Linked DNA regions of Anolis sagrei. The protein of the gene in region 1 interacts with the protein of each later gene in a biochemical or structural test. Links are inferred from orthologs where the notes say so. Each region holds a gene or a part of one and is shown in the gene's direction. Other genes may lie near its edges. The genes, in order: CCND1, CDK6, RB1 and CDKN1C.

Region 1 (7,189 bases):
ACCCCGCCGCCTCATAAATCAAGGGCTGCTGCCACACACCGGCGCGGGTTTTTATGAATGGAGAAACCACCCTGCTCTCCCTTGCCTCCTCCTCCTCCTCCTGGCGTCCCCTTCTCTTCCCTTCCCTCGCAAAGGGGGAACCCACTCCGACAAAGCAAATATTGTTTGGGAGCAAGGAGAGGGGGGAGGGAGGAGCTGCCCATTGAGCGAGCTTTATATTCCCCCCCCCCCAAAAGAGCCCCCAATTAAGACATCCCCATTGCAGGAGCGCCAGGGCAAGCGAGAGGAGAGGCATGGGCACAATCCTCCCCCGGGATCAGAATAGAAGAACCCCCAAATTGGGGAAGTCCGGGTGATTCTTATGCCAAAACCAGGTCCTTGAATTGCATTGCTGTGCCTTTTCGGGCGATGCTTTCCAGAAGCATTCTCTCCTGACGTTTCGCCCACCTCTATGGCAGGCATCCCCTGAAGTTGGGAGGTCTGTTGGAAACTAGGAAAATGGGCAATCAATTGGGGGTTAATCTATCCGTGGAATGCTGGGAGGGGTTAGCCAGTCTTTGAAGCTGCAAGGCCATTCAATGCTAATCAAGTGAGGTTTAGATATCTGGAACGTCCACGGTGGAAGAAAGAACTCTTGTCTGCTTGAGGCAAGTGTGAATGCTGCAGTTGGCCACCTTGATTAGCATTGAATGGCCTCGCAACTTCAAAGACTGGTTAACCCCTCCCAACAAAGGTTCCCCGCAGGCAGGAAGCAGCCAGGCTTTGAAGCTGCAAGGCCATTCAGCGCGAATCAAGTGAGGTTTATATACCTGGAAGGTCCAGGGTGGAAAAAAGAACTCTTGTCTGCTTGAGACAAGTGTGAATGTTGCAGTTAGCCACCTTGATTAGCATTGAATACCCTTGCAGGATCAAAGCCTGGCTGCTTCCTGTCTGGGGCAATCCTTTGTTGGGAGGTGTCAGACAGGCTTTGAAGCTGCAAGGCCATTCAATGCTAATCAATATTCACACTTGCCTCCAGCAGACAGGAGTTCTTTCTCCCACCCTGGACCTTTCAAAGATATTAGCCTCACTTGATTAGCATTGAAGCTTCGAAGACTGGCTAACTCCTCCCAACAAAGGCTTCCCCAGGCAGGAGGCAGCCGGGCTTCGAAGCTGCAAGGCCATTTGATGCTAATCAAGGTGGCCAACTACAGCATTCACACTTGCCTCAAGCAGACAAGAGTTCTTTCTCCCACATATATAAACCTCACTTGATTAGCATTGAATGGCTTTGCAGCTTCAAAGACTGGCTAACTTCTCCCAAAAAAGGCTTCCCCATTCAGGAAGCAGCCGGGCTTTGAAGCTGCAAGGCCATTTAATGCCAATTAAGGTGGTCAATTGCAACATTCATAGTTGCCTCGAGCAGACAAGAGTTTTTTCTCCCACCCTGGACATTCCGCAGATATATAAACCCCACTTGCCTAGTTTCCAACAGACCTCACAACCTCTGAGGATGCCTGCCATAGATGTGGGCGAAACGTCAGGAGAGAATGATTCTGAAACATAGCCAGACACCCCGGAAATCGCACAGCAAGCCCAGCGATTCCGGCCAGGAAAGCCTTGGACAACACGTATCATCCTGGGAAGTTTGCATCCCAAGGCGTGCCTGGAATTTGCGGGGAGTTGCCTCGAGCGAGGCTCGGCTCCAGCCCAAGGAAGGCGCCCTCCCTGGAGGCAAGGCAGCGCGAGGGAGCCAGTCGCCCAGGAAGCCCGGGCTTGTGGGTGAAACGGGCCAGACCCACCAACCGGGGGAAAGAGAAGATCCCCGGAAGCCGGACGGGGCAGACTTCCGAGTTCCACCTCTCTCGCCCCCATTGACTTCCTTCCCTTGAGCCACGCGGCTTGGGGAATGTGTCTCCTGAAGTCAAGGCACAAAGGAAGGCCGCCCTGCCCCTTCCGAGACCCATTGCGGGACTCCTTGAAGTAGAATGCAACTTTCCTTAATGTATTGTCGGCTTTCAAGGCCGGAAACACTGGGTTGCTGTGAGTTTTCCGGGCTGCATGGCCATGTTCCAGAAGCATTCTCTCCTGGCGTTTCGCCTGCATCACAGATGCAGGCGAAACGCCAGGAGAGAATGCTTCTGGAACGTGGTCATGCAGCCCGGAAAACTCACAACAACTCAACTTTCTTTAATCCCTCTCTGCGCCTTTAATTCCTGCCAGAGATTCAACTCCAACAAACAGGTCGCCCTGCGGAAATGAATGGCTGATCCTTTCCCCATATGATGTAGGGGCCCATTCAAAGATTTGGGGCTGAAATCTACATTTTGGGGGCTCCAGCTGCCAGTTTTGGACCTACCACGTGGCGTTGAAGCCCCACCACGTTTCTCCTTCTAAGCTGAGGGGGAAAAGGAAGGGGCCTGAGGCTCTGGGAATGGTGGGAGTTGCACTCCAAAACACCTGGAGGGCCCAAGTTGGCCCAGGCCTGCTTTAAAGAGACGCTGCAACTTCCAGCTCTGCTCCCTCTCTCTCAATGCTGCCTTTGTTCCCCATCTTGGAAGAAGTAAACCTGGTTTCCAAGTGTGTTTTTAGATGGAAAGGGGGGAAATCAACCCCCCTGATCCCAAAGATCTGGCTGGCATTCTGCAGCCACGTGGTAGGTCCAAAACTGGCAGCTGGACCCCCCCCCCCCCAAAGTGTCCAGATTTCAACCCCAATCTTTGAAGGGACCTCTATATCCTATGGGAAAAGTTTGAGCCAATCACTGGGTTGCTGTGTTTTCCGGGCTGTATCACTCATTTTCCAGAAGCATTCCCTCCTGACGTTTCGCCTGCATCTATGGCAGGCATCCTCAGAGGTTGAGAGGTGTGTTGGAAACTTAAACAGGAGAATGTATTGTCGAAGCCTTTCATGGCCAGAATCACTGGGTTGCTGTAGGTTTTTCAGGCTGTACCGCCATGTTCTAGAAGCATTCTCTCCTGACATTTCGCCTGCTTCTATGGCAGGTATACCTCACAACCTCTGAGGCTGCCTGCCATAGATGCAGGCAAAATGTCAGGAGAGAATGCTTCTAGAACATACAGCCCAAAAAACCTACAACAGCAAAGGGACTCATCACACTAGAGAAAGAATCCACATTAAATCCGGTTTCTGCTTCCTGCAGAATTCTGGGGTTTGTAGTTTAGGAAGGAGCCTTTAACAGTGTCACTAAACTACAAGGAGAATTCTGCAGGAGGCAGAAACTGGATTTAAAGTGGATTTTTTTCTGTAATGTGATGAGGTCATAAGTGAGGTTTCTATGCTTTTGGAACATGGCCATATAGCTTAAGCTGACTTGTGTGGGGAGGAAGGGGCATGAGGCTGTGCGGAATGGTGGGAGTTGCACTCCAAAACAGGAGGTACAAACCGGATTTAAAGTGGATTTTTTCTCTAGTGTGATGAAGTCATAAGTGAGGTTTCTATGCTTTTGGAATATGGCTTTACAGTTTAAGCTGGATGATTGGGGGGGGGGGGGGGTAAAGCTGTGAGGAATGGTGAGAGTTGTACTCCAAGTTGGTCCAGGTCTCCGGGCCTGAGGCTGTGAGGAATGGTGGGAGTTGCACTCCAAAGCAGGAGGCACAAACCGGATTTAAGGGGGATTTTTTTTCAATGTGATGAAGTCACAAGTAAGTGATGTTTCTATGCTTTTGGAACATGGCTATACAGCTTAAACTGGATGAAGTGGGGGGGGGGGAGAGGAAGGGGCCTGAAGCTGTGAAGAAGGGTAGGAGTTGCACCCCCAAACACTTGGGAGGGCCCAAGTTTGCCCAGGCCTCAAGTTTGCCTGTGTGTGGCCGTGGCCTACTTCCCCCATTGTATTCTGCACCAGCTGCATAAAGCCCGCATTATTATCACCATCATCACCATCATTATTATTAAACATATCCTGCCTAATGCACTGGAAAGACAATTTGCTTCTTTTTCCCCCTCCCCGGGAAAAAAAAGAGAGGGGGGGATCTTTAGTGCTCATTTGCATGGGTATGCAAAAGAGAGAGAGAGAGAAGGGGGGGGTAAGCGCCTTGCTGCTGCTGCTGCTGCTTCTCCTCCTCCTCCTGCTTGAACTGCGGCGAAGGGGAAGGCCTTGGAGGCGATGGGATGGCTTTAGGGCTCTGCCCCTTGCTTTTGGCTCCTCTCCCTCCCTCCCTCTCTCCCTCCCTCCCTCCTTCCTCGCTCGCTCTCTCCTTCCTTCGCATTCTTTGATCTCCGCTTAACAACAGTCACGTCACAAGAGGGGGCTCAGGCGGCAGGGTGGAAGTTTGGAAAGTTTCCCCGCAGCCTCCAGAGGGCTGGAGCAGCAGCAAGCGGTAGCACCAGCGAAGCGAAGCAGGAGGAGTCGTTGCTGCTGCTGCTGCTGCAGGAGAGTCAGCCCAGCCAGCAGCATCCGAGCAACCAGGGAAGGAGAAGAAGGAGAAGAAGAGCAGCCTGGAAACAAGACTCCCTCCGGAGAGAAAAGAAACAAAGCCTCGCAAGAACAGCATAAGGAAGAGAGGAAGCACGCGGGGAGAGAGAGAGAAAGAGAGAGAGGCGAGGCGTCGGCATGGATCACCAGCTGCTCTGCTGCGAAGTGGAGACCATCCGGAGAGCCTACCAAGATGCCAACCTCCTCAACGACCGGGTCCTGCAGGCCATGCTCAAGGCCGAGGAGACCTGCTCGCCCTCCGTCTCCTACTTCAAGTGCGTCCAGAAGGAGATCTTACCATATATGAGGAAAATCGTGGCCACTTGGATGCTGGAGGTTGGTAACCATTCCGAGAGAGAGAGCGAGAGAGAAGGAGGAAAGGAATGGCAAGCTTGGGCTTCCTTGGCAATAGTCAAACCACCCTTGCTTGGAGAGAGAGAGAGAGAGAAAGGGGATTGCAAGACTAACTTAGTAATAGTCAGACCAGCCCTGCAGAACCTCTGCTTGGAAAGAGAGAGAGAGAAAGGGGATTGCAAGCCTGGGCTTCCTCTGCCTGCCTCTCTTTCCTCTCTCCGGCATTTCCTCCACCCGAAGATAGCCTTTCCTCCTGGGCTGCTTTCTCCCTGCCTCCCTTTCCTCTCTTTCCCCGGCGTTTCCTGCACCCGAAGCCAGGCCTCCTTTCTCTCGCTGTCACCTTTGGAGGCGAACTTTTGAATGAGCCCGAAAGGCAGGGTCCTGGGAGCGAAGCGTGGGCTGCTTCCTCGCCCAGGCGCCCCGGCTCCTGCCTTCCCTTCTGGCCTTTCCCTCGAGCCTCCCCGGGCCTCCCAGGGGGGGATTTTGATTTTAGATTTAATATCCATGGACACGTATGCAAGTGCTCCCCGTGCCAGTATTCTGCGCCATCTTTGTTCTTTTATTGCAAGGGTTTATTAATCATTAGGAGGCGAGAAACTTCCCTTGAGGGTGGGGGGGGGGGGTCCCTGGGCTTTGGGCTTGCAAACTTTGGGGAGAAACTTTTCTTTGTTCGCACAGAGAGAGAGAAAACCCCTGGTCTTCCTCTCCTCCCCCCCTCCCCACCCCCGCCCGGAAGACGTGCTTGCTTTCTCCTGCAGAGACTTGTCGGCAAGGTCGCCCAGTACAAAAACAAGTGCAAATCGGGGTCCCCCTTTGGAGGAGGCGCTTCAAAGGGGTCCCATCAGAAGCAGCCGGCTTTGGGCTACATTTTCAGCCCTTTCCCGAAAAAATCCGCGCCCGGGAAGTATTTTTAATTAATTTTTGAAAGCCCCCCGGGTGGCAAATGTCGCACGTTGCTTCTCAAGAAGAGAGAGCTTGGAGAGGAATGGGGGGTGCTGGAGTTTGACTTCGGGGTGTCCCACCAGAGGATCCCCCGTGATTCTTCTCATGAGGGATCGGTAAAGAATCGCCCGGGGTTTGTTTTCAGCTACTTTTGGAAGCGCTGGTGATTTTTTAAACATTTTTAAATATTTTTTGAAAAGATGACGTCTGGGGAAAAAGCGTGCAGCTGCCTCTTCGACGCCACCTTTGTGTCTCGAGCGAGGAGGGGGGGAGGCAGCACCCAAGCCAATGGGAGCCAATAGGGGGCACCTCAGCTATACACCCCCCAAAAAATATCTCCAAGCAGACCTACTTCTAACTACTTTGGGGGGTCGCTTCTTAATTTCGGGCTTTTCAAAAGCCTGTTCGCCTTTTTATTTCGCCTCCTCAGTCCCCGACCACGTTTTTCCAACTTCCCTTGCGACTTTCTCTTTCAGTTCTTTTCTCTCCTTACACTCTCAACACATTTATTGACTTGGTTCATTTGGTTTTTATAAAAGTGGGAAATTCATTTCATTGGATTTTCTTCACCATTCTTGTGTGGAAGAAAAAGTTGGTTCAAAAAAGTAAGGATTTGTTTCTTGTTTTTCCCTTCCCCGTTTTTTTGTTTTGTTTTTTTCCCCTATTTTCCCTTCAGGTTTGTGAGGAGCAGAAGTGCGAAGAAGAAGTATTCCCCTTAGCTATGAATTATTTGGACCGATATCTCTCTTTCGAACCCCTTAAGAAAAGCCACTTGCAACTGCTGGGAGCTACCTGTATGTTCGTTGCCTCCAAAATGAAGGAAACCATTCCTCTCACTGCAGAAAAACTGTGTATTTACACTGATAACTCCATTAGACCCAGCGAATTACTGGTAATTTCGTACTTTTGTCTCTTCAGAAAACTAAAAACCCTCAAGCCACACTGATAAAGAAACCAGGCTGATCAATTCTTCAATTTCAGATCTCCTAGACAGATTCCCTTCCTCTAATGTTTAGGACTGAAAACTTCATGCGGTTTGCTCACTTTGAATTCTTTCCACCATTACCTTTACAAACTTTACTCCAGCGTGTGCAAATGGGCATATATGGGAAGCATATAATTGAATGAATATATATATATAGAGAGAGAGAGAGAGAGAGAGTGAGTTTTTGAAGGCTTTCATGGTCGGAATCACTGGGTTGCTGTGAGTTTTCTGGGCTGTATGGCCGTGTTTGCTTCTGAATGCTTCTGTAATATGGCTATACAGCCCGGAAAACTCAGAAACAACCTATATGATCAGAGGTTGAGTACAAGAGTCTTAAAGCTCACCAATTCCAAGTTGGGAGGCAGTCCCATATACACATTTTTCAGAAGCAATTCCTAATCCCTTCAATAGGATATTTATTATTGTTATTGGGTTGCTGTGAGTTTTCCAGGCTGTATGGCCACATTCCAGAAGCATTCTCTCCTGACATT
Region 2 (7,243 bases), on another chromosome or scaffold:
TTGGTTTGCCCAAATACCCTCATGGGGGGGGGGGGGTCATCCATTTGGGATTTCCTGGTTTAGCTGCCCAGAGGGGATATCTTATCAATCAATAAATAAATTGACATGTAAATTTATAGCAAAGATGGAATAGAGAATAAAAATATTCTGTTTTGACTAATCAATGGCCATCAATTTTAGCATCTATAACTAGTATGGCTATAGACCTCCAATAATGTTTTATACAGCAAAATTGGTCTTTTGTGCAGTTAGAATCTCTTTTCAAAAATCAGAAAACTATTTTAATTGTAATAATGCTTCCTTAATGCATATGTTTTGAAGTTGGCCAATAGTTGCTACATTTTGGGAGAACGTGATCATTAAAGTACATTTAGTTTTGAAAAGTTTTTTGATATTCATTGCTTTTATACTCTTTTTTATAATTTACCTATTCCTTTGAAAATAACAAATAGCCTGTGGAAATAGGTATTGTGTGTCCCTTTGACTGCTAAAAAATGAATATGTTGCTACTGGAAGGTTTTTTCCTTTTCCAATGTGATTTGATAGATAGCAGCTCTAAAAACACTTGCAAAATTTGAAATAATGTTGTACAGACAAAAATTACAATATAACTTATGTATGGACATTTGATCAGTTTTAAAGAAACTTGTGGCTAATGCGGCTAATTTTCCTCCTTATCTGTTTTTATTTTCCTGCTTTTGTTACATTGGAACATTATTGTATGTAAGTGAAATTCCTTTTTGAATATAAATAACATTTACTTTTAAAAAAATAGGATGGGTTAATATATACTAAATCCTCAAGGCATATGTTATCTTCATCCAAGGGAAGGTTGACTGACGTTAATGGAGTTAGAGGTATATTGCCACAGAGATGAAAGATGAAGCTATAGTCACAGGAATGCAGATGGAATGGTTTACATGTGGAAAACACACCTTCCTGTGCTCACAATGAACCTCTTTTTGTTTGGCAGGTTGGCCAAAAGATTCTTAACTGCTATTATTAAACAGGATTTAAGTCATGGGGACTTCCGAGAGCACTGCTGCCTGCCCTTTGCATTCTGATTTCACTTACAAGTACATTAGTAGAACAGTTTACAGTGGGGTCACTGTACATGTTTACATTTATGATTATTTACTAGCCGTCCCCTACCAGGCGTTGCTGTGGCCCAGTCTGGTGATCTGGAAAATAAAGTAATGAGAAAGTATTGGTTTCTAATATATATAATTTCTTTATGCTTGTGTGTAAACAGTATTTCTTGTCGTTTCTTTGTCAGTGTTGATGTAGAGATAGTCTGATTTGCCTACTTTGGAACATGCAAAATATAATTGTCCTTCTTTAGGGGTCCCTTTCAAATCTATGATACTATATCTGTCATATACATATGTGTGTGTGTGTGAATCATATATATCTATCTATATCTATGGCTGGATGGCTCTTTGTCAGGAGAGCTTTGGTTACGTTTTCTTGCCCTAGTGAAGGGTGTTGGATTGGCTGGCCTTAAGGCAGCATTTCTCAACCTGAGGGTCAAGTGGGGTTCAGAATGCTCTTTGATTGTAGGTGAACTATAAATCCCAGTAACGACAACTCCCAAATATCAAGGTCTATTTAACCCAAACTCCACCAATGTTCACATTTCGGCACATCGAGTCTTCATGCCAAGTTTGGTCCAGATCCATCATTGTTTGAGTCCACAATAAAACACAGAATGCAGAGAACAAAAAGTTACATCAAAAAATAGTTAAGTAGCAAAATAAAACAAATAAAGCAAATTAACACAATATAAAATCAAACAGGATGGGCAGGCCAAATGGACGAGATAAAATGATAAAACCCTGGGTGAGGTAGGAATAGAAAATATGTGAGGAGAGCAACAACAACAACAACACTTTATTTATATTCCGCTCTCTCATTCCAGAACTCAAGGTCAATGCCCACCAAACCCCTTTCTGTTGGTCATTGGAGTTCTGTGTGTCAAGTTTGGTTCAATTCCATCATTGCTGGACTTCAGAATGCTCTTTGATTGTAGGTGAACTGTAAATCCCAGCAACTACAACTCCCAAATGACAAAATCAATGCCCCCGCCCACCCCCACCAGTATTCAAATTTGAGCTTATCGGGTATTGGTGTCCAATTTGGTCCAGTGAATGAAAATACATCCTGCATATCTGATATTTACATGACGATTTACAAGAGTAGCAAAATTACAATTATGAAGTAGCAATGAAAATAATTTTATGGTTGGTGGTCACCTGAACATGAGGAACTGTATTAAGGGGTCGCAGCATTAGGAAGGTTGAGAACCACTTATCTAGACACAATGCTCCTATTGATGCAGGCCAAAATCCCATTGGATTTTTAAGCTGCCCCATGACTTTGTTGCCTCATGTTTAACTTGTTGTCCAGGAGGACTCTAAGATATTTTTCACACCTACTGCTGTTGAGCCAGATGTCCCCCATTCTGTATCTTTGCCTTTTTTTCTGCCGAATTGGTGGAGTATCTTGCATTGGTCCCTGTTTAGGTAAGGTAAAGGTTTTCCCCTGACACTAAGGCCTGTCATATCTGACTCTGGGGGTTGGTGCTCATTTCCATCTCTGAGCTGAAGAGCTGGCGTTGTCCGTAAGCACCTCCAAGGTCATGTGACCAGCATGACTGCATGGAGCATTGTTAACTTTCCACCGGAGTAGTACCTATTGATCTACCTACATGTGCATGTTTTCAAACTGCTAGGTTGGCAGAAGTTGAGGCTAACAGCTGGAGCTCACGCCACTCCCCGGATTCAATCCTGCGACCTGCAAGTTGAACAGCTCAGTGGTTTAACCCACTGTTCCACTGTGGCTCCTTGGTCCTGTTTATATTATAAATTACTGCTCCTTGGTCCGGTGGCACAGTGGGTTAAACTCCTGTGCCAGCAGGACTTAAGACCTACAGGTTGGAGGTTTGAATCTGGGAAGAGTGCGGATGAGATTCATCTATCACCTGGTAAAACATCCAAACATCCAGGGTGTCCCCTGGGCAATGTCCTTGCAGTCAGCCAATTCTCCTGTTGCTAGCTCTAGTCTCTGCCAACCTAGAAGTTCAAAAACATGCAAATGTGAGTAGATAAATAGTTACCGCTCCGGCAGGAAGATAACAGTACTCCATGCAGTCATGCCAGCCACATGACCTTGGAAGTGTCTATGGACAATGCTGGCTCTTTGGCTTAGAAATGGAGTTAAGCACCAACCCCCAGAGTTGAACACGATTGGACTTAATGTCAGGGGAAAACTTTTAGCTTTTACCTACTTTAAATTACTTTTGTTCTTTATATATACTGTATGTCCAAACATCCAAAAAAGAATAATAATAACAAGAAGAGTCCCTCTGGAAAAGGCCGGGGCCAATGGGCTCTCCAGGTGTTTTGGACTCCAACTCCCACCATTCCTCACAGCCTCAGGCCCCTTCCTTTCCCCCTCAGCCTTGTAGTTTCACAAGGTCTTCAGCCTTCTGTGCCAAAGCGTATTAGTTCCCCAACAAACTGCAGCAGCCAGGGTTGCATTGCAGAGAGTGCATCTACAGCAGGCATGGGCCAACTTGGGCCCTCCAGGTGTTTTGGACTCCAACTCCCACCATTCCCCACAGCCTCAGGCCCCTTCCTTTTCCCCCTCAGCCTTGTAGTTTTACAAGGGCTTCAGCTTTCTGTGCCAAAGAGTGTTGGCGCCTCACCAAACTGCAGCTCCCAGGGTTGCATTGCGTAGGGTGCATCTACACCAGCCATGGGCCAACTTGGACCCTCCAGGTGTTTGGGGCTCCAACTCCCACCATTCCTCACAGTCTGAATGGTGGGAGTTGGAGTCCCAAACACCTGGAGGGCCCAAGTTGGCCCGGGCCTGCTCTTGTGTAACAAATGTGGACTTTTGCACACCCTGGGAAACAAGCCCACGAGGCAGCAGCAGCAGTTTCAGAAGCTGTGCTCTCCTCCTTCCTCTTCCTCCTCCCAGCTTGGGGTCTCCCCTCTCCCTCCCCCATAATCACCCCCCCTATCGCCCCCCTCTCTCTCTCCTGCCTCCTTGCCGGCGGTATTTGGGGAGAGGGGAGGGGTGGTCTGCCCCCCCCCCCTTGCCTTTTTTTTTGGCCCATGAAGGATTTCATTGAGTGCGAAGACAGAGAGCAGAGACAGAAAGCAGAAGGAGGCGGCCGCTGCCTTTGTAGTCGGGGAGGAATGCGGAAATGTTGAAGCACTATGTCAAACTTTTTTGAAACGGGGTCAAGTCACATTCAGCCAGCGTGGGAAACCGAGGGGGAGAAGGGGAGAAAGGGAAGAGAGAGAGGAAAAGAGAGAGAGAGAGGGAGAGTGAGTGGAGGCGAGTTTGGAGAGGGGGGAGAGAAAAAGAAAAGAAAACTCTTCTGCTCCCAGACTGAGCCACAGAAAGAGAGAGAGAGAGAGAGGAACGGGAACTTTTTTCACAGGCAGGAAGAGTGTCCGTGGGTAGAGTTTGTGAAGGCTTTGATCAGAGTTATTACAACCCCCCCCCCCTTTTTTTTTTCTCTAAGGGAGGAGGAAGAGGAGGAGGAGGGAGGTTTGCGAGATCCTCTCCTTGCATGAAGAAGAGAAGGAGAAGGAGGAAGAAGGAGAAGGTGCCGTTTTGCTCTTCCCGAGTTTGCCAGGAAGATGCGGGTTGAGGAGGAGGAGGCGCTCCGGTGCTGGCGGCTACCTGTGTGGCCCAGGCCGGGTCTGCGGGGAGCCCCAAACCGGAGCAGCACCATGTGAACCTCCCTCCTCCTCCTCTTCCTCCTCCTCCTCCTCCTCCTCCTCCCCTTGACCCATCTGCGTTGGATGGGCAGCCAGATCTTAGGACTTCCCAGAGAGAGAGAGAGAGAGAGAGGAAGCAAGCTGTCCTTTCCTTCCTTCCATCCATCCTTCCTTCCTTCCTCCCACCCCCTGCTTATTCCTCTTTTAATTGTATAGGAGGGGGGGTCCCTTTTATTGCTCTCTCCAAAGACCCCCGTTTGGCTCTGAAGACCGAGGCACCCCTCCGAGAGGAGCTCCCGCACCAACACCAGCAGAAGCGCACGCCAGGTACTTCCTCGGCCCTGAAGTGCCATGTGCTCATCCAGATTGATAGACTCTTTGGTTTCAATGGGGAGGAGGGCTAGTGAGTGGCCGGGCTTGGCTCCGGGAGGGCTCTATGATCCCCCTTTACACCCACCCTCCCACTAACATTCCTCTCATGATCAAAAGGGGGTCTTCAATGGCGAAGGTTGAGTTTGAGGGGTTTTATTACTCCCTTTTGCGCCCAACCACCCCATTGCCCACCTTCCAGACCTCCCTCTGAGCCCCAGGATCATTGACTAAATAGAGGGTCTTAAATAGTGCGGGTTGGCTTTTGGGGGGCTCTATTTTCTCCCTGTACACCCACCCACCCCACTAACATTCCTCGCATGATGAAAAGGGGGTCTTAAACGGCGAGGGTTGAGTTTGGGGAGCTTTATCCCCCCCCCTTTGCACCCAACCACCCCATTGCCCACCTTTCAGACCTTTCTCTGAACCTCAGGATCTAAGGAGGGTTTTAAATAGTGCAGGCAGACTTTTGGAGGGGCTTTATTATCCCCCTGTACACCCACCCATTCCACTAGCTTCCTCTCATGATCGAAGAGGGGTTTTAAATGGTGAGGGTTGGATTGGGGGGGGGGGTTATTACCCCCCTTTGCATCCAACCACCCCTTTGCCCACCTTTCAGACCTTCCTCAAAGTCTCAGGATCATTGACTAAAGAGAGGAGGGTTTTTAATAGTGGGGGTTGGCTTTTGGGGGGGGGGCTCTATTATCTCTTAACAGTCTTCTCATTACCAAAAGGGGGTCTTAAATGGTGAGGGTTGAGCTTGGAGGGCTTTATTACTGCCTTTTGCACCCAACCACCCCATTGCCCACCTTCCAGACCTCCTTCTGAGCCTCAGGATCATTGACTAAATAGAGGAGAGTCTGAAATAGTGTGGGTTGGCTTTTGGGGGGCTCTGTACACCCACCCACCCCACTAACATTCCTCCCCCCTTACACCCACTCATCCTGCTAACATTCCTCTCCAGATCAAAGGGGGGGGGGGTCTTAAATGGCAAGGGTTGAGTTTGGGAAGCTATATTACCCCCCCCCCCCCCTTTGCATCCAACCACCCCATTGCCTACCTTTCAGACCTTCCTCAAAGTTTCAGGATCATTGACTAAATAGAGGAGGGTTTTTAATAGGGGGGAGGCTTTTGGGGAGCTCTATTATCATGAACACTCCTCTCATTATCAAAAGGGGGGCTTAAATGGCGAAGGTTGAGCTTGGGGGGCTTGATTACCGCCTTTTACATCCAACCACCTCATTGACCACCTTCCAGACCTTCCTCTGAACCTCAGGATCATTGACTCAATAGAGGAGGGTCTGAAATAGTGTGGGTTGGCTTTTGGGGGGCTCTGTTATCCCCCTGTACACCCACCCACCCCACGAGCCTTCCTCTCATGATCAAAAGGGGGTCTTAAGGAGGTCTTTACAACCACTGACCCCACTAGCCTTCTCATGATCAAAAGGAGGTCTTAAATGGCTTTATCGCCCCCTTTTACATCCAACCAACCCTCCTCTATTTAGTCAATAGCCCTGATGCTCAGAGGAAGGTCTGGAAGGGGGCTTTATCACCCCCCCCCCTTTACATCCAAGTACCCATTGCCCACCTCCGAGATCTTCCTCTGAGACTCAGGATCATTGACTAAATAGAGGAGCGTCTTAAATAGTGCAGGTTGGCTTTCAAAGTGCTTTATTATCCCCCTTTGGATCCACCACCCCACTAACATTCTTCTCATGATCAAAAGGGGTCTTAAATGGTGAGGGTTGAGTTTGGGGAGCTTTATTACCCCCTTTTACATCCAAACACCCCATTGCTCACCTTTCAGACCTTCCTCTGAGCCTCAGGATCATTGACTAAATAGAGGAGGGTTTTAAATAGTGCAGGTTGGCTTTTGGGGGGGCTCTATTATTTGCCTTTATACCCTCCCACCCCACTAGCCTTCTTCTCATGGACAAAAGGGGGTCTCAAATGATTAGGGTTGAGTTTGGGAGGCTTTATTACCCCCTTTTACATCCAACACCCCACTGCCTATCTTCCAGATCTTCCTCTGAGCCTTGGGATGATTGACTAAATAGAGGAGGGGTGGTTGGATGCAAAAGTGGGTATTAAAGCCCCCCAAATTTGACCCTCGCCATTTAAGACCCTGTTTTGATCATGAA
Region 3 (7,415 bases), about 120 Mb from region 1:
TTTGATTTCCAAACGGCTGTTCTAATATAGGTGTCTGCTGTAACAAAATTGAGCAGTAACTTTGTGTTATTGAGATGTATATAAGCTATGTATGTGCAATGGAAAATAAATATTACAAACCTGTTTGTCTAAAAGTTTGTCCATTTTCTTTTCACATTTTCTTTTACATGGCGAATTTCTCTAGGATGCTTAACATAGGACTACTGAATTTTAACCTTAATAATATTTTAGATTAGAATTGAGATTAGATGTTATAAAATATGTCATATGGCTATTAGTTGAAGCAAATAATACAATTTTAAATAAAAAATAAGGTCATGTACCTGTTGGATTCTGTATCTCTTTCACCATCATGACTGAATATTCCCATGATACCACTTCCACTGATACATTTTTAAAAAGTATTTGTAGCAGATTTCAGAATACATTTTGTTTGTATTGGAGAACCTGGGCTCAGGTCCATGGATGAAAAACAGAGCTATTACCTGCTTTGGTGGGATTGTTTGTGTTTCCATCAAAAGGGATATTGACAAGCTAGAAGGTGTTCAGAGGAGGGCGACTGAAAGGATCAAAGGTCTGGAAACCATGAATCCCTATGAGAGTGACTTAAAGAGCCAGGGATGTTTAGCCTGCCGAAGTAAAGGTTGAGAATAGACACAATCTATATAAATAAAAATGTAATGTTCGTTTGTGGGATTAATATAATTGAAAAACCACTGGACGAATTGACATCAAATTTGGACACAATATACCTATCAGGCCAGCGAGTGACCATCACTCATAAAAACACTGTGAAACACAGCGGAAAGGACTAAAAAAGCCAAAAAGATGCTACAGCGCATGCGCAAACCACACACATACATGCAAACACACTTATATACACACAAAGCACATATACAGAAACTGGGCCACAGCAACGTGTGGCAGGGGGCAGTTAGTAGCCATGTATAAAGATGTGAAAGAATGTCATAAGAGGGAGCAGGCTTGTTTTCTGCTGCCCTGGAAACTAGGACTCAATGGAGGAATGGGCTCAAATTGCAGGAAAGGAGATTCCACCTGAACATTAGGAAGAACTTCCTGACTGTAAGAGCTGTTCAGCAGTAGAACTCTCCGCCTCGGAGTCTGGTGGGGGCTCCTTTGGAAGTTTTGTAACAGAAGCTGGATGGCCGTCTGTCGGGGGTGCTTTGAATGCAATTTTCCTGCTTCTTGGCAGAGGGTTGGACTGGATGGCCCATGAGGTCTCTTCCAGCTCTATTATTTACGAGTATGAATCTTGTCTTTTGGAGGCAAGTGTGAATGTTGCAATTGGTCACCTTAATTAGCACCAAATAGCCTTGCAGCTTCATAGCCTGGCTGCTTCCTGCCTGGGGGAATCCTTCTGTGGAGGCCATATTATTATTATTATTATTATTATTATCTTTATTTGTACCCCGCTAGCATCGATGCGGCTTACAAAGGTCAAGGCCTCAAACACAACATAACAATACACAACCTAAAGCAAATTAAAAACAGTTGAAGCAATATTAAACAACAAGCAATAAACAGTGCACCCGGAAACAATAAAACTGGGCCGGGCCAGAGCAATGGGTACATATGTCTGGGCTGATTTGATTGTGCTTTTCCTGCATGGCACAGAGTTTGACTAGATGGCCCATGCAGTCTCTTCCAACTCTATGATACTATAATTCTAAATAGAGGCTGAAAGAAAGCCCATCTGCTGAGACTGCTTTGTGTGTTCCTGCATGGCAGAATGAGGTTGGACGAGATGGCCCTTGCAGTCTCTTCCAACTCTTACGATTCTATGGGTCTAAGATATGATAGAGCTAAACTAATCCGACTACAGAAGCTCAAGGAGATAGCAATGGGATTTCCACCATTCAGATTTATGAATCTACTACTTTTTATGCTTCTTTCATTCCTCCGTGATTGTAATTTCCAAAGTATCTGGCAGGTTTGTTAGATACCAAGATGAGAAAGATATTTCTCTGGATAATAGGGAATGTTCTTCCTTTGGCAGATGGGAGGGGACATCTAAACAGGACAGTACAGGGCTTCTTAAACCTTTTCAACAATGCTTGACATGACCCTAGGTATGTAGGGTATATGAAATAGGTATAAAAATTGAACATGTATTGAGAACTAATCAGGCTCGGCGACGAGTTCAGGATCACTCCCAAGCTGTGAACCTGTGTCTTTAGTGGGATCCCATTTGAGGCCAGGACCCAGTTTAAGAAGCAGTGAGACGGAGTACAGCGGGCCCTCGGTATCCACTGGGATTTGGTTCCAGGACCCCACTGGATAACAAAATCAGGATATACAATGGCAAAATCACACATACAGCCTTTATTGGCATACAACAACAAAATCACAACACAGGCCCATACAACAAAAAGTCACAGATAAAAAGGAAAACATACTTAAACGTTACTAGTCTCAAGAATAAATTTTGCAGCAGTCTGGCATGCATAGTCCTCAGTGGTTGAAAAGAGGTACAAGTGTCTTGAAAGGAGGGAACTCTGAACACGGGCCTTCAATCATGTTCAGAGTTCCCACCTCTTATTACACTTTACAAACAAGTTTACAACTGAAAAACAGGTGGGATGGGAACCACCAAGTTTCCCGTCTTGTTTCGTTGCCCAACTGACAGCAGTCTCATCGAATGCTCTAGTAAAAAGTCAGGTCTTAAGTGTGAGAGTAAAAGGCCCTAAGTCACGCATGGCTCTCATGTAGGGCAACAAGGAATTCCACAAGGCAGGGGCAGAAATAGAAAAAGCCCTGCATCTGATCCTTTCCAAGTGCACTTCTCTAGGACCCAGTATATGGAGTAAGTCACGTTGGGCTGGTTGTTGCGATCTCCGATGATGGGAGGAGAGGCGGTCCCTAAGGTACGATGGACCCTGGCCGTAAAGAATTTTAAAGGTCAGAACTAACATCTTATACAGGCCACGGTACTCAGTTGGAAGCCAATGTAAATGTTGCAGCACTGGTGTTATATGGCATTTCATGGGCGTTCTTGTGAGTAACCTGGCTGCCGCATTCTGAACAATACGAAGCTTTCGGGTCGTAGACATCAGAAGGCCCACATACAGGGCGTTGCAATAGTCCAGCCTAGACGTTACCGTGGCATGGATGACAGTTGCCAGTGCCTCGTCAGATAGGTAGGGTGCCAGTTGCCTCGCTTGTCGTAGATGGAAAAAGGCCTGTTTGCTGGCAGCAGCGACCTGAGCTTCCATTGTCAGCTGTGAATCCAGGATGAGGAAGAACAAGCTGAAGATTAATCCCGACAAGACAGAGGTCCTCCTGGTAGATTGTAAACCAGATTGGGGTATAGGGTGGCAACCTGTGCTGGACGGGGTTACACTCCCCCTGAAGTCACAGGTCCACAGTTTGGGTGTCCTCCTGGACTCATCACTTATGCTTGAAGCTCAGGCGTCGGCGGTGGCCGGGAGGGCCTTTATTTATTATTTATTTATTTAGGTTACTTTTACCCCGCCCTTCTCAACCCCCAAGGAGGGACTCAGGGTTACAAAGAAGGCACAATGTGATGCCTATACAAATTACACATAATATACAAAACCATGGCTAAAACAATTATTGCAGTTAAAAACAATAAAAACAATCAGTACATAACATGTCATATATAAAAACTATAAAAAAAACTATTCTCATGCTCAGCGCTTCGTCTTTCAGAGTTCCATAATTCTATTCCATTAATCATTTCCTAATCATTGTCAAGTCCTTTTATCTGCCCGATTATCCGAATGCCTGGTCCCAAATCCATGTTTTCAGTTTTTTCCTAAAGTAAAGGAGCGGTGTTGCAGATCTAATTTCCCTGGGGAGTGAATTCCAAAGGTGGGGGGCCACCACCGAGAAGGCCCTGCTCCTCGTCCCTGCCAATCTCACTTGTGATAGAGGCGGGGTCGAGAGCAGGGCCTCCCCAGAAGATCTTAGACTCTGGGGTGGGACGTAGAGGGAGATCCGTTCGGATAGATACACTGGGCCTTTGCACAATTAAGACTTGTGCGCCAACTGTGACCGTACCTCGGGAAGGCGGATCTGGCCAGGGTGGTCCATGCCTTAGTCACCTCCAGATTGGACTACTGTAATGCGCTCTACATGGGGCTGCCCTTGAAAACGTAATGGAATTGGACAATACCCTTGCCATTGGGAACACCGTGAGAAAATGGGAGGGCAAAAAACAAAAACAAAACAAGGTTTGCTTATAGTGATAGGATATGCAGCTTGACACTTCTGTCCAGGTGGAAGGGGGAACTATGAAGAGTCCAAACCAAGCCCGCCTTCAGCACCTGCTTCTCTCCTCTCTTGGCCACCAGTGAAGGGAAGCTCCGCGCGCCCTCCAGAGCAGGAAGTGACGTCTGCGGCGGGCGCGAGGCCCTTTCCCGCGGTTCGCGAGGCCTGCTGCCGGTTGGCTGCTGGCTGTCGCGCGCAGGAGAGGGAGGGGGCGCCGCCGCTGAGGGGCTTGGAGGCGCCCAAGATGGCGCCCACGAGGCCCCCGAGGAAGGCGGAGCCGGAGCCCGCGGCCACAGCCAGGTCAGTGCCCTCCGTCCCCCTCTCTTTTGGCCTTTTCCCCCATAGAAGGAGAGCGGCTGCCACCCCACTGGGCTTTTGTTCATCCCAAGGGAAGCCCAAGTAGGAGGGGAAGGGGTCTTCTCCTCAAAGACCTTACAACAGGCATGGGCCAACTCTGGCCCTCCTGGTGTTTTGGACTTCAACTCCCACAATTCCTAACAGCCGCTAGCGGCTGTTAGGAATTGTGGGAGTTGAAGTCCAAAACACCAGGAGGGCCGGAGTTGGACCATGCCTGTGTTACAATGACAGGAAAAGTTTCAAAAGTTGTTGCTCTGCTGCTGCTGTTGTTGGAAAAGATCCAGATCTGAAGTTCCCCTTTTGACAGTCGCTGCCATTGCCATCTTGTCTTAAGAAGTTCCCTTTGTGGCTACTTTCAAATCAACTTTGTCTTCCTTTCCAAATGCCAGCCTCCGTTTATTTACAAACTAGCCGTCCCCTGCCAGGCGTTGCTGTGGCCCAGTCTGGTGATCTGGAAAACAAAGTAATGAGAAAGTGTTGGATTCTAATATATGTAATTTTTATGCTTGTGAGTAAACAGTGTTTCTTTGTCAATGTTGATGTGGAGATTGTCTGGAACGTGCAACATGCAAATTGTCCTTCTTTAGGGGTCCTCTTCAACTCTATGATACTATATGTGTGATACTCTGTGTGAATCATATATATCTATCTATATCTAAGGCTGGATGGCTCTTTGTCATGATTACGTTTGATTACGTTTTCTTGCCCTGGTGAAGGGAGTTGGACTGGATGGCCTTAATAATATGGGGGTTCTGTGTGGGAAGTTTGTCCCAATTCTGTCGTTGGTGCGGTTCTGAATGCTCTGTGATTGTAGGTGAACTATCAATCCCAGCAATTACAACTCCCAAATGTCAAGATTCTATTTTCTCCAAACTCCACCAGTGTTCATATTTGGGCATATTGAGTATTCGTGTAGAGTTTGAACCATATCCATCATTGTTTAAGTCCACAGCAATCTCTGGATGTAGGTGAACTACAACTCCAAAACCAAAGGACACTGCCCACCAAACCCTTCCAGTATTTTCTGTTGGTCATGGGAGAACTGTGTGTCAAGTTTGGTTCAATTCCATTGTTGGTGGGGTTCAGAATGCTCTTTGATTGTAGGTGAACTATAAATTCCAGCAACTACAACTCCCAAATGACAAAATCATTTTTTTCGAGTGAAGGACATACATTGAGTTGTTAGGTGTCTCGTGTCCAAATTTGGTGTCAATTCGTCCAGTGGTTTTTGAGTTCTGTTAATCCCACAAACGAACATTACATTTTTATTTATATAGACTAGCTGTCCCCTGCCACGTGTTGCTGTGGCCCAGTCAGTTGATCTGGAAAATAAAGTAATGAGAAAGTGTTGGATTCTAATATATGTAATTCCTTTATGTTTGTGGGTAAACAGTATTTATTGCAGTTTCTTTGTCAGTGTTGATGTAAAGATTGTCTGGTTTGCTTACTCTGGAACATGCAACATGTCATTTTTTAGGGATCCTTTTCAACTCTATGATACTATATCTCTCTCTGTGTGAATCATATATATCTAGCTATATCTAGGGCTGGATGGCTCTTTGTCAGGAGGGCTTTGATTACGTTTTCTTGCTCTAGTGAAGGGAGTTGGACTGGATGGCTTTAAGTATTTTCTGTTGGTCATGGGAGTTCTGTGTGGGAAGTTTGGCCCAATTCTGTCGTTTGTGTGGTTCAGAATGCTCTGTGATTGTAGGTGAACTATAAATCCCAGTAACTACAACTCCCAAATGTCAAGGTCTGTTTCCCCCAAACTCCATCTGTGTTCATATTTGGGCATATGGAATATTTGTGCCAAGTTTGGTCCAGATCCATCATTGTTTGAGTCCACAGTGCTCTCTGGATGTAGGTGAACTACAACTCCCAAACTCAAGGTCAATGCCCACCAAACTCTTCTAGTGTTTTCTGTTGGTCATGGGAGTTCTGTGTGCCACGTTTGCTTCAATTCCATCGTTGGTGGGGTTCAGAATGCTCTTTGATTGTAGTTGAACTATAAATCTTGGCAACTACAACTCACCAATGGCAAATCATTTTTTTAGTGATGATCACTCCATGGGTTAGTAGGTGTCTTGTGTCCAAATTGGCGGCAATTCGTCCAGTGGTTTTTGAGTTATGTTAATCCCACCAACAAACATTACATTTTTATTTATATAGATTCTTCCTATTTCCTCTCCTTTATTACTACTAGTTCACTTGGCCATTTGGACATACTCTAGTACTTTCTCTCTCCAATCTTTAACAGTGAACTCTTTTTATCCCTTCTAAGATTTTGTTATTGCTAGTCCTGCTGCAACAAAGCTGTATTGCGCTGTCCAGCACTTTCATGCCTGGAATTTCTGTGAGTTTTCCGGGCTGTATGCCCATGTTCCAGAAGCATTCTCTCCTGATGTTTTCCCCACATGTAGGACAGGCATCCTCAGAGGTTGTGAGATCTGTTAGAAACTAGGCAAGTAAGGTTTATATATCTGTGGAATGCCCAGGGTGGGAGAAAGAACCATTGTCTGTTTGAGGCAAGTGTGAATGTTGCAATTGGCCACCTTGATTAGCATTGAATGGCATTGCAGCTTCAAAGCCTGGCTCCTTCCTACCTGGGGGACTCCTTTGTTGGGAGATGCTAGCTGGCCTGGATTGTTTCATGCCTCGAATTCCTGTTTTCTGAGTGTTGCTGAGTGAGGACAGTAAATAAAAATAAAAAGCCAGTTGACACCATTCAACAAAGGATTCCCCCCAGGCAGGAAGCAGCCAGGCTTTGAAGCTGCAAAGCCATTCAGTGCTAATCAAAGTGGCCAATT
Region 4 (7,404 bases), about 21 Mb from region 1:
ACTTTGGGTAATGTGAAACAAGGCTGCATTAATGTGGCCTTGTCCCACATTACCCTGAAATAGCCCTATGTTTTGGCCACCTGTATACCAACCTAAGTTGTATAGATGTGGCCCAAAAGAGAAAGGAAACTGCATTACCTTCATAACATTTGTGAATTCTTTAAGATTAGCACTATCAGGCAAAGTTTCTATACAGCACAGAACAGGCCAAAAACATAATTCAATTTGATGGGAGCAATATCAGAAATAGTTTTGTTTCCCTTGTGCCTTCCATTTATGCAATTTTTGGTACCTACTATGTCAGTACAAACCTTTATATAGAAATGTACGATTAAGTTGTTTCACGTGGACTATAACTGATGAATAGTATAGTTTATTTAACTGCCACACTTGCTTTGGGCAGTGTATTATCTGCTCCCGGATACAAAGAAGCATATCTAGAGGATAGGAAAGATTGCCTAAGTAAACCATGAATGGAACAAAGATTAGTTTATGGGACTCATATTTTATTGGTTAATCATTACAAACCTTGCAAAGAAATGAAGTTTTACAGTATTTTGGCAGAGGTCCAATTGGATAACGGTGCTCCATGGTCATTTACTTTCTGGAACTGGATTGGCTTTGGTCCTCTCCTTTGCTGACGAGACCTGATAGGGTGTTAAATCAAGGGAATTAATATTTCATCACCTGTTTTCACTTGAAGGTCTGGCTGCATGACTGACCTTCCTCCTCTCTGCTGCCCCATCACAAACTCTTCCAACAGAGGTTTACATCTTGCCTAATGAGGTGCATTGTCAGGGCCAATGAACCATGATAGCCTTTTTATGAACTGTTCACTGAACAGCATCTTTCTGGCCTGCAGGCCACCTTGCAAATAGCCATATGGTCTTCACGGAAGTTGAATTTCAGTGAAGGGAAAAAGTACGAGCCAATGCTGTCATGACATTCGCCCTAAACACTACTTGAATTCCAGCTGATTTAAGAGTCTGGATAATTCAGATGGACTGTATCATCGTTGGTCATCTCAAGTCACTTACCTTTCCTTGCCCCAAGTGAATCCTACTTCTTTTGTGGAGATTATTATTATTTTTTTACTGCCGACAGGCTACGTTTATCATGAACAGACCATGCTCTCGTTCTTTTCCTGTTGTACGAGTGGAGAAACAAAGTTATACCACATTCTCAAAAACAGGATATTTAAGCCAAGTCCTCTGATGTTTGAAACACTAACAAACATGTATTGTGGCGTGAACTCTCTGAGGTAAACACCTGCTTTGTTGGATGCATCTGATAAGAGAGACTCTCCTGCAATAAACACAAGGCAAAACAATAGCATCTATCTGGGCTGAGGAAGCTTTGGTCTCCAGGTACCTTTGGATGTCGACTGCCATAAATCCCAGAAAGCATGGCCAAAGATCAAGGATTATGGGAGCTATTGTCCAAAGCCCCTGATGGTGCAGCAGGTTAAACCACTGAGCTGCTGAACTTGCTGACCGAAAGATTGGTGGTTTGAATCCAGGGAGCAGGGTGAGCACCTGCTGTTAGCCCCAGCTTCTGCCAACCTAGCTGTTCGAAAACATGCAAATATGAGTAGATCAATAGGTACCGCGTCTGCGGGAATGTAAAGGTGCTCCATGCAGCCATGCCAGCCACAATGCTGGCTCTTTGGCTTAGAAATGGAGATGAGCACCACTCCCTAGAGTCAGACACGACTTGACTTAATGTCAAGGGCAAACCTTTACCTTCACCTTAGTCCAAAGCACCTGCAGCAGTGGTTGTCAACCTGTGGGTCCCGAGGTGTTTTGGCCTACAACTCCCAGAAATCTCAGCCAGTTTACCAGCTGTTAGGATTTCTGGGAGTTGGAGGTCAAAATATCTGGGTTGACAACCACTGACCTGGGGGATCAAAAGTGCCTTCTGGTGTAGGCATCACAACTATGCATTGCTTCTGTAATGGAGTTTATGAATGGTAACAGAGGCCTAGATCCACTGGTTCCCAAACTGTGGCTCCACAAAAAGCTTCAGGGGAAGTCCGTGAAAAATGTTTCAAATCTTAAAAAAACAAACTTTTCCAAAAGTCATGCAAGAGTATGAAGATCTTATTGAAATGCAATGTACCTCGGCTTTAAAAATGAAATGTGAATCTGTGCCACTGATTTTGGGGTTGGTTTGTGGTCACATTTAAAATGTTTCGCTTTATTTCCAAACCTACATCAGGTCTGGGCAAACTTTAACCCTCCAGGTATTTTGGACTTGAACTCCCACAATTCCTAACAGCCTCAGCCACCTTCCTCCCCCCCCCCCCCCAGCTACTTAAGTCGGTTAGCAAGTTCAGCAGCTTAAGTGGCTGAGGGTTAAAAGGAAAGGGCCTGAAGCTGTTAGGAATTGTGAGAGTTCAAGTCCAAAATACCTGGTCAAAGTTTGCCCAGGCGTGTACTACATTATACACAATACCCAGACAATAGGAGTAGATAAAAAAGGAAGAACTTTGTGGGTTCGCAGTGCTTAGGGATAGATAGGGTTAGGTTCTGTGGAGAGAAAAAGTCTTCTGAAGTGTTCCACAACAGAAAAGGTTTAGCAACTGCTGGCCTAGACAACTCTGCTCAAAACCTTCCCTACTAGAGAGATTTCTGGTGAATGGAACTCAAGACCTTGGGAAAGTTACTCTTCAAATGACCGTTCCTCTATGTGCCATCGACCATCCTTGTTGAGATGCTGGGACCTGTCATCTGGAAGAACTTTTCCAAGTTCTGGCATGGACTGAGAAAAAGGAGCATGAGGCACAAGAGAGCTATGGAGTCACCACTGAATAGATGCACGCCTGTCAGGTCCCAAGGCTTTTGAGCAGAAAAGACAAGTTGACAAACACTGTGTGCAAAATGTGCAAAAAGAAAGAGTGGTCAGAAGTACTTGTAAAAAAGGGAAAGGCTTCCCTTTAACATTAAGTCTAGTCATGCCCAACTCTGGAGGGTAGTAGGTAAAGGTAAAAGTTTTCCCCTTGACATTAAGTCTAGTTGTGTCTACCAGAGCCGGCACTGTCCGTAGACACCTACAAGGTCATGACTGCAATGGAGCGCTGTTACCTTCCTGCCAGAGTGGTACCTATTCACATTTGCATGTTTTTGAACTGCTAGGTTGGCAGAAGCTGGAGTTCACTCTGTTGCCCAGATTAGAACCGCCAGCCTTTCGGTCAGCAAGTTCAGAGCTTAGCAGTTTAACCCGCTGTGCTACTGGGGGCTCCCTGGGGGATGGTGGTGATCTCCATTGCTAAGCCGAAGAGCTGGCATTGTTGTTCGTAGAAGCCTCCAAGGTCATGTGGTCAGCATGAATGCATGGAGTGCCATTACCTTCCCGTTGAAGTGGTACCTATTGATCTACTCACACTTCCAAAAAAGGTAAACTTGTGGGTTTGTGGATAGATGTCAGGGGGTCCTTGAACTTGAACTGGGATTGGGGTAAAGTAAAGGTTTCCCCTTGACATTAAGTCTAGTCTTGTCCGACTTTGGGGGTTGGTGCTCATCTCCAAGGTCATGTGGCCAGTATTTGATTCCAAGGAAATGGGAGAATCACAGCCACAGCGGGAGCTTGCTTCTTCCTTCCACTGCCCCGGCTCAATGCTATGGAATCGTGTGAAGTTATAGTATGTTGAGGCCCCAGCACAGTCTGGCCGAGAAGGCTCAAGTCCTTGTGAAGCTACAACTCCCGGGAGTCGCATAGCACTGAGCCGCGCACGGCAGGGAAAGCGGTGCCCAAATCGCCTTGCTTTTTCAGGGGAGGAGACGGACTTCTTCTGGATTTCTTCCCCGTTCCCAAACCCGACCCCAATCCTCAAGGGCTCCTTTGTCTTGCTAGCTAGGGGGACCTAATTCGGATCAATCCTTCCCGCGCGCCGTTCCCTCTCTCCCGGGTTGGAAGCGCCCTCGTCAACAACAAGCTTTGTTTTGCTCACAAAGCCCTTCTTTCGCGGTTGTACTTTGGAGGCGGGGAGGGGCCGGGCCCGGGTTTCAGGTTGCAGGACCCGAGCCCCCGAAACACAGAACCCCTCCCCGCCCGGCGCGTAAGAAAGGGGACAAATATTGAAATGCAGGGCTCATCAGGCACTTTTTTTTAATAAAAGGAGGGGGGGGAGAAGGAGGGGAGGGGCAAGGCGCAGCCCCCTCCGCCGCCTGCAAACAAAGGAGCCGAGCGGGCGACGTGGGCGCGGTGTCAGGTTACTCCCCCCCCTCCCGCTCCCTTTAAATGCCCAAGTTCCCCTCGCTCACGCCTCCGCCCCTCGCGCGTCCCTTGACGGAAAGCAGCCCCGGCCAATGGGAAAGCGGGAGGCGCGTTTGGCGCCCTGCCACACTGAAGGTGCCTTCCAATGAGGCGCGCGCGCGAGGGCGGGACGTCGCCCCGTGTCGATCGCCGCCTCGTCCAATGGCAGCCGTGTTATTGCCGAGCCATAGTATTATGCTAATCGATGTTTTGCTCGGGCGCCACTCCGCGTAGAGCTTTAAAAAGCGCAGCAGCCCCGGAGCGAAGTCGGGAGGGCCCGAGAGAGGCAGCGGGGTGGACGATCCGTTCGGGCTCGGGAGCCAGGCCAGGCATTCGCGGCGCCTCTTCCTCCTCCTGCTTCGCCTCGTTCCCTTCGGCGGCGGCGGCGATGTCGAGCGTGGACCTGTCCGCTAGCGCCTGGGCCCTGGAGCGGCTGGCGGCGCGGCGCGCTTTCCCTTCGGAGGCGCGGACGGGCGCGTGCCGGAGCCTTTTCGGTCCCGTGGACCACGAGCAGCTCCACCGCGAGCTCCGGGACCAGCTGCGCCAGATCCGGCAGGAGAGCCAGCGCCGGTGGGAGTTCGACTTCCACGCCGGAGCGCCCCTCGCGGCTGGGCAGCGGGACCAGGCGCGCTTCCAGTGGGAGGAGGTGGACGCCGCCGCCCTGCCCGCCTTCTACCGGGAGACCCTGCTGCCCGGAGCGGGCTCCCTTCGCCGCCGCCTTCGCTGCCACAAGGGCAAGGCGCCCCAGGAGGAGCAGGAGGAGCCCGAGAGCCACGGAGGCACCGAGCCGCCGCCTTCCCCGCTCGCCGCGCGGAGCCACGAAGGAGCGGACGACGACGCTGCCGCCGCCGCCGAGAAGCAGGAGAGCGGCTGCTACTCAGGGATCCCCCTTAAGCCCCTCCCGGGGGTGGCCAAGAGGACGAGGGTCGCCCACATCACCGGTACGAAAGCGCTGCGGAGAGGAGGAAGCAGGAGAGAGACGGAGAAAGGAAGGGAAAGAAGGGAGGGATTGCGAGAGAGAAAGAGAGACGGGAGAAAGGAAGGGAAGGGCGCCTGCACTTGTCCTGCGGGGGGGGGGGCACACAAAACAATCCTCCTCCTGCTGCTGCCTTTAGGGTCTTTTTAGTGGGAAGGAAGGCGTCTCTTCCCCCTTTCCCCTTCTCTCTCCTTCTACTATGTTTTCTTTTCCTTGCTCCGTCGTCGATGGCTTGCAGGGCAAGGAAGGAACGCTTACGCAGCACTTCGCGCTCGGCCGCCCAACGCCTTTCTTTCTTTTTTTTTCTTCCCTTCCTTTTTCTTGCTGCTGCGACGTAAACAAACCCGTCCCGTTGCAGTTCCCTTTCGAACCGCCAGGGGCAGGCGAGGGCAGGCGTCGCGGGGCGGAGGCGCGGGGAGTGTTTGTCTGCCGCGGAGCTCGGGGGCGCCCGGGGCGGGTCCCTTTCGGGAGGGGGCCTGTTTTTTCCCCGGGGGGTGTCGGAAGAGGGAGGAGACGCCCCGCACTCATTGGTCCTTCTCTCTCTCTCTCTCTCTCTCTCTTAGATTTCTTCGCCAAGCGGAAAAGAGTGGCCGCAGACGCCAGCAGCGCGTTGGCCTTGGAGCAGACGCCCCGGAAAAGGCTCCGATGAGCGAGGTGAGGAAGGGCTTGATTTAATCCCATTGCCAGCTCAAAAGGAAGGCCCCTTTGAGTTGCTGTGAGTTTTCCGGACTGTATGGCCATGTCCCAGAGTTATACAGCCCGGAAAACTCACAGCAAGCCAGTGATTCCGGGCATGAAAGCCTTCGACAACACGAAGACCCCTTGGAGTAGGAATAAAGGCTGAGGGGAGGGTCTTCATTGTGTTTGGATGGGGAAAGACGTGTTTGTGCCTACAAGGCCATAAGAGCTTCAGAGGTGTGCATTAATGCCAGGCAGAGAGTTTCGGGCATGTGTTTCTGCCAAATCGAAGACTTTTAGGGTATTTGTGGCTTTCTGGAAGATTTAAAGGATGCCCGGAGAGGGTGGGGCAGGGCTGCTTGGCTACTTCTTCACACTGGAGAATGAATCCACTTTAAATCCGGTTGCTGCCTCTTGCAGAATTCTGGGGTTTGTAGTTTAGGGAGGAGCCTTGAACTGCAAATCTCAGAAATCTGCAAGAGGCAGAAACTGGATTTAAAGTGGATTCATTTTCTAGTGTGATGAGGTCCTTGGAGCCTTTGCCCTTAAGGCACTGGTTAGGAGTTGCCAAACAGAAACTCACATATACTTTTTGCCCAATCTTCAACCTCCTGCCCACCTTGGACCTAAATAACAACAACAACAACAACAATAATAAACTTTATTTTTACTCCACCACCATCTCCCCAAAGGGGACTCGAGAACAGCTTACATGAGGACAAGGCCAGCGATACATTACGGCAGCATAAAATATATACAACAAAATAACATCACAATAAAGTAAATAAACCAACCATGGACTGGTTCCATACTGCCAAATAATCCAGTTTGAACTTCAGTATAGGGCAATGTGTATATATACAATGTAGTTTGAGGTGTATTTGGTTCTACACGTGCCATACAATGCAGTTCACATGGCATTATTTGGCAGTGTAGAACTAGCCTGAGGTCCCTGTCATGTGGATAAAAGACCCATCCTGCTCTGATGATGCCCTAGCTGCAGTTGACTTATCCATTGTGCCTTCTGCATTAATTCTACAATACAGATGCATTCTTTGACTTATCCAGGGATGCCTCAGTATTGTGGAATTAATGCCATTTGCCACCATTTAACTTGATGCTATGGAATCTTTTGAAAAGCCTTCCCTGCCAAAGAATGTTAGCACTTTACCAAATTACAACTCCCATGATTCCATATCTTTGAGTCATGACAGTTAAAGCAGGGCATGGGCAAAGTTGGCCCTCCAGGTGTTTTGGACTTCAACTCCCACAATTCCTTACAGCCTCAGGCCCACTTAAGCGGCTGAGGGGGAAAAAGGAATGGGCCTGAGGCTGTTAGGAATGGTGGGAGTTGGAGTCCAAAACACCTGCAGGGCCAAAGTTTTCCCATGACTGGCGTAGATGCACTTTAGGAAAAGCGAGGCAGTGCCTTGTGATGCTTCTATGTAATTCTGAGCTTTCTGTTGCTTTTTCTCCACCACCTTCCTAACGCTGAG

Evidence for each region.
Region 2: the proteins of CCND1 (region 1) and CDK6 form a complex in vitro, tested with the Homo sapiens proteins (3 studies listed by BioGRID and IntAct, with this or other methods). The link is inferred for Anolis sagrei from reciprocal best matches to the Homo sapiens genes CCND1 and CDK6.
Region 3: of the proteins of CCND1 (region 1) and RB1, one has a biochemical effect on the other in vitro, tested with the Homo sapiens proteins (15 studies listed by BioGRID, with this or other methods). The link is inferred for Anolis sagrei from reciprocal best matches to the Homo sapiens genes CCND1 and RB1.
Region 4: the proteins of CCND1 (region 1) and CDKN1C form a complex in vitro, tested with the Homo sapiens proteins (2 studies listed by BioGRID). The link is inferred for Anolis sagrei from reciprocal best matches to the Homo sapiens genes CCND1 and CDKN1C.

What each region holds. Positions count from the first base shown.
Region 1 is NC_090021.1:266,611,648-266,618,836, forward strand, and holds the start of CCND1 (G1/S-specific cyclin-D1), read left to right. Parts: upstream 1-4,176; 5' UTR 4,177-4,555; coding exon 4,556-4,753; intron 4,754-6,389; coding exon 6,390-6,605; intron 6,606-7,189. UniProt on the Homo sapiens protein: Regulatory component of the cyclin D1-CDK4 (DC) complex that phosphorylates and inhibits members of the retinoblastoma (RB) protein family including RB1 and regulates the cell-cycle during G(1)/S transition.
Region 2 is NC_090026.1:102,371,161-102,378,403, forward strand, and holds the start of CDK6 (cyclin-dependent kinase 6), read left to right. Parts: upstream 1-4,222; 5' UTR 4,223-5,060; intron 5,061-7,243. UniProt on the Homo sapiens protein: Serine/threonine-protein kinase involved in the control of the cell cycle and differentiation; promotes G1/S transition. Phosphorylates pRB/RB1 and NPM1.
Region 3 is NC_090021.1:150,193,738-150,201,152, forward strand, and holds the start of RB1 (retinoblastoma-associated protein), read left to right. Parts: upstream 1-4,409; 5' UTR 4,410-4,495; coding exon 4,496-4,551; intron 4,552-7,415. UniProt on the Homo sapiens protein: Tumor suppressor that is a key regulator of the G1/S transition of the cell cycle. The hypophosphorylated form binds transcription regulators of the E2F family, preventing transcription of E2F-responsive genes.
Region 4 is NC_090021.1:246,025,236-246,032,639, reverse strand, and holds the start of CDKN1C (cyclin-dependent kinase inhibitor 1C), read left to right. Parts: upstream 1-4,388; 5' UTR 4,389-4,459; coding exon 4,460-5,195; intron 5,196-5,793; coding exon 5,794-5,879; 3' UTR 5,880-5,884; intron 5,885-7,404. UniProt on the Homo sapiens protein: Potent tight-binding inhibitor of several G1 cyclin/CDK complexes (cyclin E-CDK2, cyclin D2-CDK4, and cyclin A-CDK2) and, to lesser extent, of the mitotic cyclin B-CDC2. Negative regulator of cell proliferation.